Danio rerio: one gene and its partner. The protein of the gene in region 1 interacts with the protein of each later gene in a pairwise test. Links are inferred from orthologs where the notes say so. Each region holds a gene or a part of one and is shown in the gene's direction. Other genes may lie near its edges.

Evidence for each region.
Region 2: the proteins of myo5b (region 1) and rab11bb interact in binary tests that used the Homo sapiens proteins (3 or more experiments, as listed by UniProt). The link is inferred for Danio rerio from reciprocal best matches to the Homo sapiens genes MYO5B and RAB11B.

The regions. Positions count from the first base shown.
Region 1 is NC_133196.1:23,909,803-23,915,485, reverse strand, and holds part of myo5b (unconventional myosin-Vb), read left to right. Parts: intron 1-763; coding exon 764-914; intron 915-993; coding exon 994-1,288; intron 1,289-3,906; coding exon 3,907-4,081; intron 4,082-4,165; coding exon 4,166-4,246; intron 4,247-5,683. UniProt on the Homo sapiens protein: May be involved in vesicular trafficking via its association with the CART complex. The CART complex is necessary for efficient transferrin receptor recycling but not for EGFR degradation.
Region 2 is NC_133177.1:59,785,059-59,791,931, forward strand, and holds the start of rab11bb (RAB11B, member RAS oncogene family, b), read left to right. Parts: upstream 1-2,746; 5' UTR 2,747-2,950; coding exon 2,951-2,990; intron 2,991-6,873. UniProt on the Homo sapiens protein: The small GTPases Rab are key regulators of intracellular membrane trafficking, from the formation of transport vesicles to their fusion with membranes.

The DNA.
Region 1 (5,683 bases):
TTAAAAAGTTGGCTTTTAAAGACCATATTAACCCAGTTTTAATCTTTGTGTAAAGTTTTTTTTATATTTTTCTTAATCTACATTCTGGTGACAGTTACACTGTTTCCACCTCCTGGTATTAACATTCAATTTAACATTTCTATGTTATTGTGCAAGTATTAACAGGAGGTTGATTGAGACCGTTTCTATATGTATTTAGCAGATTGAAAGTAAACTACGGCAGCTGTAATAACACAAATAACAGATTAGATTACAAATAACAGCAAAGTAGTTGTTTTTCTTGATAATATGTTACAAACCAGCTTCAGATGTCAGCAATTCTGTTGCTGTCTTTTCCTATCATGAGATAAATACATCTCATGTATTTATCCTTTCCTTTTCTGACTGTAAATGTCTGGTCGCTGGAATCATGTGGACAAACACAGTAGGGTACCAAGCCCTATTTGTTAAAAGTTGATATACATGAATCTGAATTATAGAGTGTCCTATGTGTATCACCCATGGCTTTCCGATCTTTGTTTATTTTTTTAATAAACAGTGTGAGATGTCATGTGATGTTGTTCATCTGAGGTGTTATCTTTCAAATTTTAAGACCTACCAAGCAGTTTTTTTTAATGTCTTGAAACTAAAAAACCTGAAATTCAATAGGGTGTCTTTTTACACGACTGTAGTTACTTAAAATAAGCCAATAGTCCACAGGGGAGCATCAAAAATAAAGTGTAACCAGTGCTCGGTATGATTTGCCTGTCTAATTCTGTCCTAGGCGTTCATGACCCAGAACTCTGCCAAGCAGAACGAGCACTGCCTGAAGAACTTTGACCTGGCGGAGTACCGACAGGTTCTGAGTGACCTCTCCATCCAAATCTATCAGCAGCTTGTGAAAGTTGCCGAGGCCAACATGCAGCCCATGATCGGTAGGTGCAGAGAGACACCAAACCAAAGAAGATTGATCATTAGCACAGTACATTTTTTCATAATGAGTGTGTTTTGTAGTGTCTGCCATGCTTGAGAGCGAGAGCATCCCCAGCCTGGCCGGAGTGAAGCCCATGGGTTACAGGAACCGCTCCTCTAGTGTGGACTGTGAGAGTGGAGGTCCCGCAGGATACACGCTTCAGGCACTGATCAAACAGCTGGCTCAGTTTTACTCTACCATGGCGGACCACGGCCTGGACCCTGAGATCAGCCAGCAGGTGCTTCGCCAGCTCTTCTACTCCATCAACGCAGTGACCCTCAACAACCTGCTGCTGCGCAAGGACGTCTGCTCCTGGAGCACCGGCATGCAGCTCAGGTACACATTTTTAATGCTTTTAGGCTAATTAATATTTTTCTCAGCAGTCATCATAGTTAGGTAAACTTAAAGAGCAGTGAATGGGTTTAATTACAGCCACAAAGTCAATAAGGGCTTTAAAATGTGCATTTGTATTAAATGTTTGATGTAATCTTAATCAAAATATAAAGAGAGGGTGGGGCAAATAGTAGCATGATTAGCATGATAGTAGCATAAGCTCTTTTTTTAAAAACAGCCAATAGCATTTCGTTTTCATTACAGCTCTGCCTTAAATAAGAAGCGCTTTGAAGGTGGTAGTGGGGGTGGCGGGGGCATGTTAGATACTAGAGCACATTTGATTGGTCAAGATTTGGTAAGAATCATTGAAAAAAAACGTTGATCCATTTAGACGGAACTGCAAACTGCAAGCTTTGGGTGTTTACGTCAGGTTTATATCATCTAAACATGAAATTCGTCAATGCTTTGGAGAGCACTAGACATTTAACACTAACATACTGATACTAACACCTGAAAAACATTATTTGCCAATGGTGCCAATAGCCTAGTGGTTTTTGCAGCAACATGTTGCACTGAGGTACTCATGGCAACCCAAGTTCAAATCCCGGCTCGAGATCCTTTGCTAATCCTTCAAGTCTCTTTCTGCTCCCAATGCTTTCCTGTCTAAAATCTCCACTGTCCTATCCTAATAATGGTGAAAAGCCCCTAAAAAGTAATAAAAAAAAGAAAGATATTTTGCATGTTACCTTGGTGAAAACCCTATGTAAAGCATCATTTGTTTGTGTTTATCTTTTTCTTTGATCATACTCTGGAGTTTAAACAGGTCTTGGTAAATTGGGTCTTGTAGATGGTTTGTGATGTGTTTTTTTTAGTCCTGGGCAAAAATTGATTCATCTCATCTAAACTAAAAGTTTGTTTTGACATTTGAATTTAAGTGTGTGTATATTTATTATGCATGTTCTGTGTAAAAACACATGCCTGCATAAATCTCACAAATTGTTTATTTATATTTAGATTTAGTATATACAAATAGGTTCATAAATATTTGGACTTCGACACAATTCTAACATTTTTGTGTTACAAGATGTGCTTTAACTGCAGACTTTTTACATCTAAATCAGGTGAAAGCTGTAGGAATTACAACCGTTTGTATATGTGCCTCCTACTTGTTAAGGGTCCAAACGTAACTGGACAATTGGCTTCCAAGTTGTTCAATGGCCAGGTGTGTGTTATACCCTCATTATGTCAATTACAATGAGCAGATAAAAGGTCCAGAATTCATTTCAAGTGTGCTATTTGTATTTGGAATCTGTTACTGTCAACTCTTAAGATGAGTTCCAATGAGCTGTCATTATCTGTCAAGCAAGCCATCAATAGGCTGAAAAGAAAAACACCAGAGAGATAGCAGAAACATCAGGTGTGGCCAAACAACTGTTTGGAACATTCTTAAAAAGAAAAAAATGTCCCAGTGAGCTCAGCAACACCAAAAGACACGGAAGACCACAGAAAACTGCTGTGGTGGATGACCAAAAAATTCTTTCCCTGGTAAAGAAAACACTCTTCACAACCGTTGGCCAGTTTAAGAACACTCTCCAGCATGTAGGTGTATTTCTGTCAGAGTCAACAATCAAGAGAAGGCTTTACCAGAGTGAATACTGAGGGTTCACCACAAGATGTAAACCACTGGTGAGTCTCAAAAACAGGAAGGCCAGATTAGAGCTCTAAAAAAGCCTTCACAGCACTAGAACAATATTTTATGGACAGATGAGACCAAGATCAACTTGTACCAGAGTGAAGGGAAGAGAAGAGTATGGAGAAGGAAAGGAATGGCTCATGATCCTACACAGTGAAGCATGGTGGTAGTAGTGACATGGCTTGGGCATGTGTGGCTGTCAAAAGAACTGGTTGTCTTGTATTTTATTGATGATGTGTCTGCTGACAAAAGCAGCAGGATGAAATCTGAAGTGTTTCAGGCAATATTTTCTGCTCATATTAAGCCAAATGCTTTAGAACTCATTGGATAGTGCAGATGGAAAATGACCCAAATAAAACTGCTAAAGCAACCAAAGAGTTTTTGAAGTGAAAGAAGTGGAATGTTATGCAATGGCCAAGTCAATAACCTGACCTGAATCCGATTGAGCATGCGTTTAACTTGCTGAAGACAAAACTGAAGGGAAAATGCCCCAAGAACAAACAGGAACTGAAGACAGTGGTTGTAGAGGCCTGGCAGAGCAACACCAGTAATGAAACCCAGTGTTTGATTTTAAGTTTGATTTATGATTATTATTCTGTCTAATTACTTTTGGTCCCTTAACAAGTGGGAGGCACATATGCAAACTTTTTGATCTCAAATACCCTCAAATTAAAGCTGACAGTCTGTGGTTAAAGCACATCTTGTTTCATTTCAAATCTATTGTGTTGGTGTATAGAGCTAAAAATGTTAGAATTGTGTCGATGTCTAGTTCTTTTTTGTTTGTTAATTCTTGCTTCTTTCTAATTTTGTTGCATTCTTTGCATAGGTAAAATATGTCAAATGTGAAACCTTTTTGCAATCTTTGACTTCAAGAAAACATAATTGACTAAAAAAAGTAATGTCAGATGAATGTAACGTGTGGTTTCAGGTACAACATCAGTCAGCTGGAGGAGTGGCTAAGAGGGAAGAACCTGCACCAGTGTGGAGCTGTGGCCACTATGGAGCCGGTCATTCAGGCCGCGCAGCTGCTGCAGGTGAAGAAGAAGACATCACAGGACGCTGAAGCCATCTGCTCGCTCTGCACTGCACTCAGTTTACAGCAGGTACACATTTAGCTTTCATTTTTTTCCTTTCTATTTGTTTTGTTTTGTTTTTACTTTTATTAACTCAATTTTGCTCTATCTCAGATTGTGAAGATTCTGAACTTGTACACACCACTCAATGAGTTTGAGGAGCGAGTCACTGTTTCCTTCATAAGAGACATACAGGTAAAATGAAGCACACATACATACATGCACTTATAAATCAAAACATTTAAGCATTCCATATTAAAAACAATGAAATTTTGAGGTCACAGCACAAGTTACAGAACATACACCTGCTTGAAAAGTATAATGCTGCGTCCCAATTTGCATACTATCCGCCCTAAATAGTATTCGAAATTAGAATTAGTATGTCTGAAACCATAGTATGTTGAAAAAAGCATGCCAAAGATTCCCGGAGTGTCTACTATTTCTAGTAAAAATGCGAAATGTAGAACTGTCCATAGTCTCACCCAGACCTGGCCATTTTACGGCCAGTGAAGTATTTATTTAATTTAAATTCAACTGCAAAAAGGGCCTTTCAATGCACAGGTCTGATATTGCGAGTGAACAAAAAGGGACTTTAACATATAGCATCTTTTGCCCTCTCAGTTTCATTATTTTAAATGGAGACATGCCTGTTCAGCGCGCAAATACTGTAGGAAGAGATACACATGTGGTATGTCACGCTCACGTTTTCCAGGCGACACGGGTTGAAAAAAAATCTAAACATTTCAGTGCAGCAAGCGAACCACAAGTCATGTGAAAGGAACCAACCAGGCAACTTCACACTTTGTATAGAATTACACAGTAATAAAAGTAGACTAATTACCTCAGATTAATGGTTTAACAAATGCAGATACAGATCCTCTCTCAGTGATGATCATTACAGCACATATCCACCTCACATTGGCCTGAATTCAGTGCGCTTGTTCAGCCCAACTCAGGCTAGAATTCTCTAAGTTAATATAAAAATTAAGGATAAATAAATAAAATGTACCTAAGGTGAAGCAATCAAATTATGAAGGGAAAGAAGTAGAATGTTATGCAGTGGTCAAGTCAATCACCTGATCCGAATTCGATTGAGCCTGCATTTCACAAAACTGAAGGGAAAATGCCCCAAGAGCAAACAGGAACTGAAGACAGTTGAGTAGAGGCCTGGCAGAGCACCACCAGCAATGTAAATACCCACCGACATGGAACTTTCGCCTGTGTTATGGTACCTTGTTGCAATTTTAGTTTCCCTAACGGGATAATAAAGCAGAGTCTGAGTCACTGTGGTGTTGATGTGAGAGTGACGTACTGCATGTGTATCTCTTCCTATTTGCGCGCTGAACAGGCGCATCTCCATTTGAAATAACGAAACTGAGAGCGCAAAAGGCATAGCTAAAGTCCCCTCGTGTTAACTCGCATTGTCAGATCAGAATGAATATTAACTGAAGTAAAGCAATCAATCAAACAACCCCGTGGCATTTATATGAAGTCAGTATTGTGATGCTGCTCTTTAAAATACTTTTTATTTAAAATTGATTCTTTTTTAAACGAGAGTTTTTATGAATGTTAATTGAATAGTTTCACAGAATGTTTTTATTTTTTGAAAACAAATACCTGTATTGGTCTAGC
Region 2 (6,873 bases), on another chromosome or scaffold:
TTCCCAGTACTGGGTTGCAGCTGGAAGGGCATCCGCTGTGTAAAACATATGCTGGATAAGTTGGCAGTTCATTCTGCTGGGTGAACCCTGATTAATAAAGGGACTAAGCTGAAGGAAAATGAATGAATTAATAATAATAATAATAATAATAATAATAATCATTTAAAAATAAATTATTAAATGAATAAATTATTAATATATTATAAAGGTTATGATTTAATGTTAATATAGAATGAAATACAAAAATAGTTTAAATAAAAAATATGAATAAATAAATAAATAAAACAATAAACAAATAAATAAATAGATAAACTAATAAATGAATAAATAAATAAATAAATAAATAAAGTACACAAATAAAATTACTAAACATAATTCATTCCTTCATTTATTTTCCTTCGGGTAGTCCCTTATTTATCAGAGGTGAAATGAACTGAAACGAACTGCCAACTATTCCAGCATATGTTTTACACAGCGAATGCCATTCCAGCTGCAACCCAGTTCTGGGAAACATCCTTAGATTCTCACATTCACACACTCTCATACACTATGGCCAATTTAGTTAATCAATTCCCCTATAGTGCATGTGTTTATACTGGGGGGAACTGGAGCACCTGAAGGAAACCCACACCAACACGGGAAGAACATGCAAACTCCACACAGAAATGCCAACTGGCCCAGCTGAGACTTGAACGAGTGACCTTCTTGCTGTGAGGCGACTGTGCTAACCACTAAGCCAACTATGCTGCCCTAAAAATAATTTAGATGTTATTTGAATTTTACTATTCAACTTATTAAAAGCAAAAATCTTGGAAAGAAATATTCAATAAGACATGATGCACAGAAATATTTTAACTTTATGACTTTGTATGAAAGCATCTGTGAAATACATGATAGGAAACAGTTTTGCTAAAACCTTTGCTAAGCTGCTTAAAAATGTGGATGCTTGTGGCTAAAATTCAGTCCTTTTCTTTGGATTAGCTCAGGCTTCACAGCTCTAGGAAATGCTGAAAACCAAATTCCCAAAATTCACTTCATATATTAATACATGGTATATTTGTCCTTTCCATGCTGCTTATTCAGCAGGTACACCTCACTTCCTGTCTGCTACAGGAAGCAGAGCGGTCACAGAAGGTCACCTCACACACGTCCTGTCTGAGATTCCAGAACTTCTGCATTATCATCCTTTACCTACAGCTGAAGTCAGAATTATTCACCCTCTAGTGAATTGTTATTCTTTTTCAAATATTTCTCAAATGATGTTTAACAGATTCAGGAATTTTTCACAGCAGTTCCTATAATATTTTTTTCTTCTGGAGAAAGTCTATTTTGTTTTGATTCGGCTAGAATAAAAGCAGTTTTTAATATTTTAAAAAACATTTTAAGGTCAATAATATTATTATAAAGCTATAGTTCTGAGTTATAAAGTCATAATTCTGCATTATAAAGTCATAATTCAGAGATATAAAGTCACAATTCTGATATATAAAGTCATAATTCAGAGATATAAAGTCACAATTCTGATATATAAAGTCATAATTCAGAGATGTAGTCATAATTCTGCATTATAAAGTCATAATTCTGCATTATATAGTCATAATTCTGCATTATAAAGTCATAATTCAGAGATGTAAAGTCATAATTCTGCATTATAAAGTCATAATTCTGCATTATAAAGTCATACTTCTGAGATATAGTCATAATTCTGCATTATAAAGTCATAATTCTGCATTATAGTCATAATTCTGCATTATAAAGTCATAATTCTGCAATATAAAGTCATAATTCTGCATTATAGTCATAATTCTGCATTATAAAGTCATAATTCTGCAATATAAAGTCATAATTCTGCATTATAGTCATAATTCTGCATTATAAATTCATAATTCTGCAAAATAGTCATAATTCTGAGATATAAAGTCATAATTTTGCATCATAAAGTCATAATTCTGATATATAAAATCATAATTCTACATAATGAAGTCATAATTCTGAGATATAAAGTCATAATTCTGCATTATAAAGTCATAATTCTGCATTATAGTCCTAATTCTGCATTATAAAGTCATAATTCTGCATTATAGTCATAATTCTGCATTATAAAGTCATAATTCTGCATTATAGTCATAATTCTGCATTATAAAGTCATAATTCTGAGATATAAAGTCATAATTCTGAGATATAAATTCATAATTCTGCATTATAAAGTCATAATTCTGCATTATAGTCACCATTCTGAGATATAAAGTCAAAACACAGAGATATAAATTCATAGATCTGAGATATAAAGTCAGAATTCTGCGTTATAAAGTCATAATTTTTCCTAATAAAGTCAGAATTCTGAAATATAAAGTCCAAATTCTGAAATATGAAGTCAGAAAATCACTTCATAACTCATAATTCTCACTTAATAACTCAGGATTGCGAGTTTGTTCCAGACATGTGATAAAAAGTTACAATAGCTTATAAAAACAGGAACAGATTTCTAAAGAATAATATTGCTGATCTGAGAGCAGTGTGTGAGCACTGAAAAAACTGATTTATGATTTGCTAATTTTTTTTAAGGTAAGGTCTTTGCAAACAATTATAAGGGCTGAAGTTAACAAACTAATTAAATTATGTTCAACTTAGTTTATTTGTTTACATTTAGCCCTTATAAATAGTTTGCAACCACTTATTAAAAATATTGTGAATCCAATGAATCATTTTTGTCCTAATGTGGCGCCCCCTACCGGCCGCTGTGGTTCTATTCAGCGGGACTCCTCCCCAATGCAGCCCGAGCAGATCGCTCTTCCTGCGGTGTGACAGCAGCAGCGGCGGCGGCGGCGGTGGCGCATTGTACGCTTTTATCCTTTATTTGACTCTTTTCTTTCTACACTGAGCTAATCAACACAAACTCATCTGATCATCTCCTTCTGGAAGAACTGCAGGACGCGGCGGCTTGTCTAAAATGGCCAACAGAGACGATGAATACGATTTCTTGTTCAAAGGTAAATTCTGCATACAGTCAGAATCATTCATAATCCATCTATTGTTGCTACTGTAGCATGTGTCTGACACAGATCGGAGCCTGTTGGGGAATAGGCACTGTTGAGGAAGCGTCTTTTGCAATGGCATCCTGTGTAAAATGATGCCACACACATATACAAATAACAGTGTTTGACATAGAAACGCCCGCAGAGGCATCAATACCTCAATACTCATGTATCGATCTGTAAAACATCTGCTTGGATGCCTTTACACCGGCTAGAAGGGATACAGCTGCGACCGGAAGTTAACGAGAATTATTTATTTTGTTTATTAAATTACTGATTGAATTTCATTGTGTTAACGTCTACCCCTGAACCCAACCCTCACGACAATGTAAAACAGTAATTATAACTAGAATTATTTATAATACCTATTTAATTTGTCATTAAATATTAGCATTTACTCCTAACCCTCACACTAATGTAAATACAGTAGTTATAACGAGAATTATTCATATTGTTTATTAAATTACTCATTTTAATGTATTGTGTTTACGTCTACCCCTGAACCCAACCCTCACGACAATGTAAAAACAGTAAATATAACGAGAAGTATTCATATTACCTATTAAATTAGTCATTAAATATTATTTAATTAGCATTTACCCCTAACCCTCACACTAATGTAAATACAGTAGTTATCATGAGAATTGTTCATATTATTTATTAAATTACTCATTAAATAGTATTTTATTAACATCTACCGCTTAACCTAAACATCACAGAAATATCAAAGCAGTAAATATAACAATTATTTATGAAATTACTCATTAAAATGTATTTTGTTAACGTCTACCTCTATCCAAACCCCAAAACTAACCCTCATATTAGTGTAAAAGCAGTTATTAAAAAAATGAGAATTATTCATATTATTTATTAATTTACTCATTAATTAGTATTTTATTAACGTCTACCCCTAAACACAGCCCTCACATTAATGTAAAAACAGTAAATATAACGAGAATTGCGTATATTATTTATTAATTTACTCATTAAATTGTATTTTATTAACATTTACCCCCAAACCCAGGCCTTACACTAATGTAAAACATTAAATATGACGAGAATTATCCATATTATTTATTAATTTACTCATTAAATTGTATTTTATTAGTGCCTACCCATAAACCTACCTCTCACACCAATGTAAAAACAGTAAATATAACAAGAATTATTTATTAAATTACCCATTAAAATGTATTTTATTAACATCTACCTCTACCCAAACCCCAAAACTAACCCTCATACTAATGTAAAAGCAGTTATTAAAATGAGAATTATTTATATTATTTATTAATTTACTCATTAAATATTTTAATAACGTCTACCCCTAAACACAGCCCTCACATTAATATAAAACCAGTAAATATAACAAGAATTATTTATAATATTCATTAAATTACCCATAAATAGTATTTTATTAACTTCTACCTCAAAACCCAAGCCTCATACTAATGTAAAAACAGTAATTATAACTAGAATTATATATATTATTTATTAAATTATCCATTAAATAGCATTTAGTTAACATCTACCCCAAAACCCAACCCTCACACTAATGTAAAAACAGTAAATATAATGAGAATTATTCATATTATTTATTAATTTACTCATTAAAATGTATTTTATTAGTATTTACCCCCAAACCCAACCCTCACTTCAATGTAAAAAACAGTAAATATAAGGAAAATATTCATATTATTTATTAAATTATCAAATAAATTGTGTTTTATTAACATCTACCCCTTAACCCAACCTTAACAGTAATGTAAAAACAGTAATTAAAGCAAGTATTATTCATATAATTTATTAATTTACCCTTTATTTGTATTGACGTCTGCTTCCCCAATGCTAAACACAGACCTCACACTAATGTAACAACAGTGTTTATGATGATAATTATTCCTAATATTTATTAAATTATCCATTAAATAGCTTTTAATTAACATCTACCCCAAAACCCAACCCTCACACTAATGTAAAAACAGTAAATATAATGAGAATTATTCATATTACTTATTAAATCATCCATTAAATAGCATTTAATTAACATCTACCCCAAAACCCAACCCTCACACTAATGTAAAAACAGTAAATATAATGAGAATTATTCATATTACTTATTAAATCATCCATTAAATAGCATTTAATTAACATCCACCCCTGAACCCAACCCCCACACTAATGTAAAAACAGTAAATATAATGAGAATTATTTATATTATTTATTAAATTACTCGTTAAAATGTCTTTAATTAATGTCTACCCCTACCCAAACCCCAAAACTAACCCTCATACTAATGTAAAAGCAGTTATTAAAATGAGAATCATTTATATTATTTATTAATTTACTCATTAAATAGTATTTTATTAGTATTTACCCCTAAACCCAACCCTCACGCTAATGTAAAAATAGTAAATATTACAAGAATTATTTATATTATTAATTAATTTACTCATTAAATAGTTTTTTATTTACATCTTCCTCTAAACCTTCCTCTCACATTAATTTAAATACAGTAATTGTAACAAGAACTATTCATATTATTTAATAAATTACTCATTAAAATGTATTTTATTAGCATAAGCCAAAACCCAACCCTCACAGTAATATAAAAACAGTAAATATAACGAGAATTATCCATATTATTTATTTAATTAAATTGTATTTTATTAATGCCTACCCCAACCCTCACACTAAAGTAAAAACAGTAATTATAACAAAATTTATTCATATTTTTTATTAAATTACTCATTCAAATGTTTTCTATTCACATTTACCCCTAAACCCAACCGTCACGTTTATATAAAAACAGCACATAAAGCAAGAATTACTTATATTATTTATTAAATTACCCATTAATCGTGTTTTATAAACATCTACCCCAACCCTAATCCTATGTAAAAACACTAATTATAACGTGAATTATTCATATTAGTTATTAATGTACTAATTAAATAGTATTTTATTAACATCTACCCCTAAACCAAACCCTTACAGTATTGTAAAAACTGTTATTATAATGAGAATTAATTTTATTATTTAATAAATTACTCAATAATAGTTCTATTGGAGTCAGAATTATTAGGCTCCCTAATTTAAATATTTCCCAAATGATGTTTGACAGAGCAAGGAAATTTTCACAGTGTCTCTGACAATATTTTTTCTTCTGCAGAAAGTCTTTTTTGCTTTATTTTGGCTTGAATAAAAGCAGTTTTTAATTTTTTTGAAGCCATTTTAAGGTTGATATTATTAGCCCCTTTAAGTTATATATTTTTCTGATAGTCTACAGAACAAACCATCGTTATACAATGACTAAGTAACCTAACCTGGGTAATTACCCTAACCTGCCTAGTTAACCTAATTAACCTAGTTAAGCCTTTAAATGTCACTTTAAGCTGTGTAGAAGTGTCTTGAAGAATATCTAGTCAAATATTATTTACTGTCATCATGACAAAGATAAAATAAATCAGTTATTAGAAATGAGTTATTAAAACTATGATGATTAGAAATGTGCTGAAGAAATCTGCTCTCCATTAAACAGAAATACATTCAACTGTATGTCATTAACATCTACCTCTACGCCAACCATAAATTTACCCCTCACACTAATGTAAAAACAGTAAATATGTCAAGAATTATTCATATTATTTATTAAATTAGCCATTCATTTTATGTTATTAACGTCTACCCCTACCATACCTGTCAACATTGGTATGTGAAAATAAGCGATATGCTCACCATAATAAGGGATTCCCCTGACCCCCCTTTAAAAAATCCCCAAATTACTAAATATGCTCATTTAGAGCAGTTTCACTGTAAACAAACAGTTAAATGGTCAGTA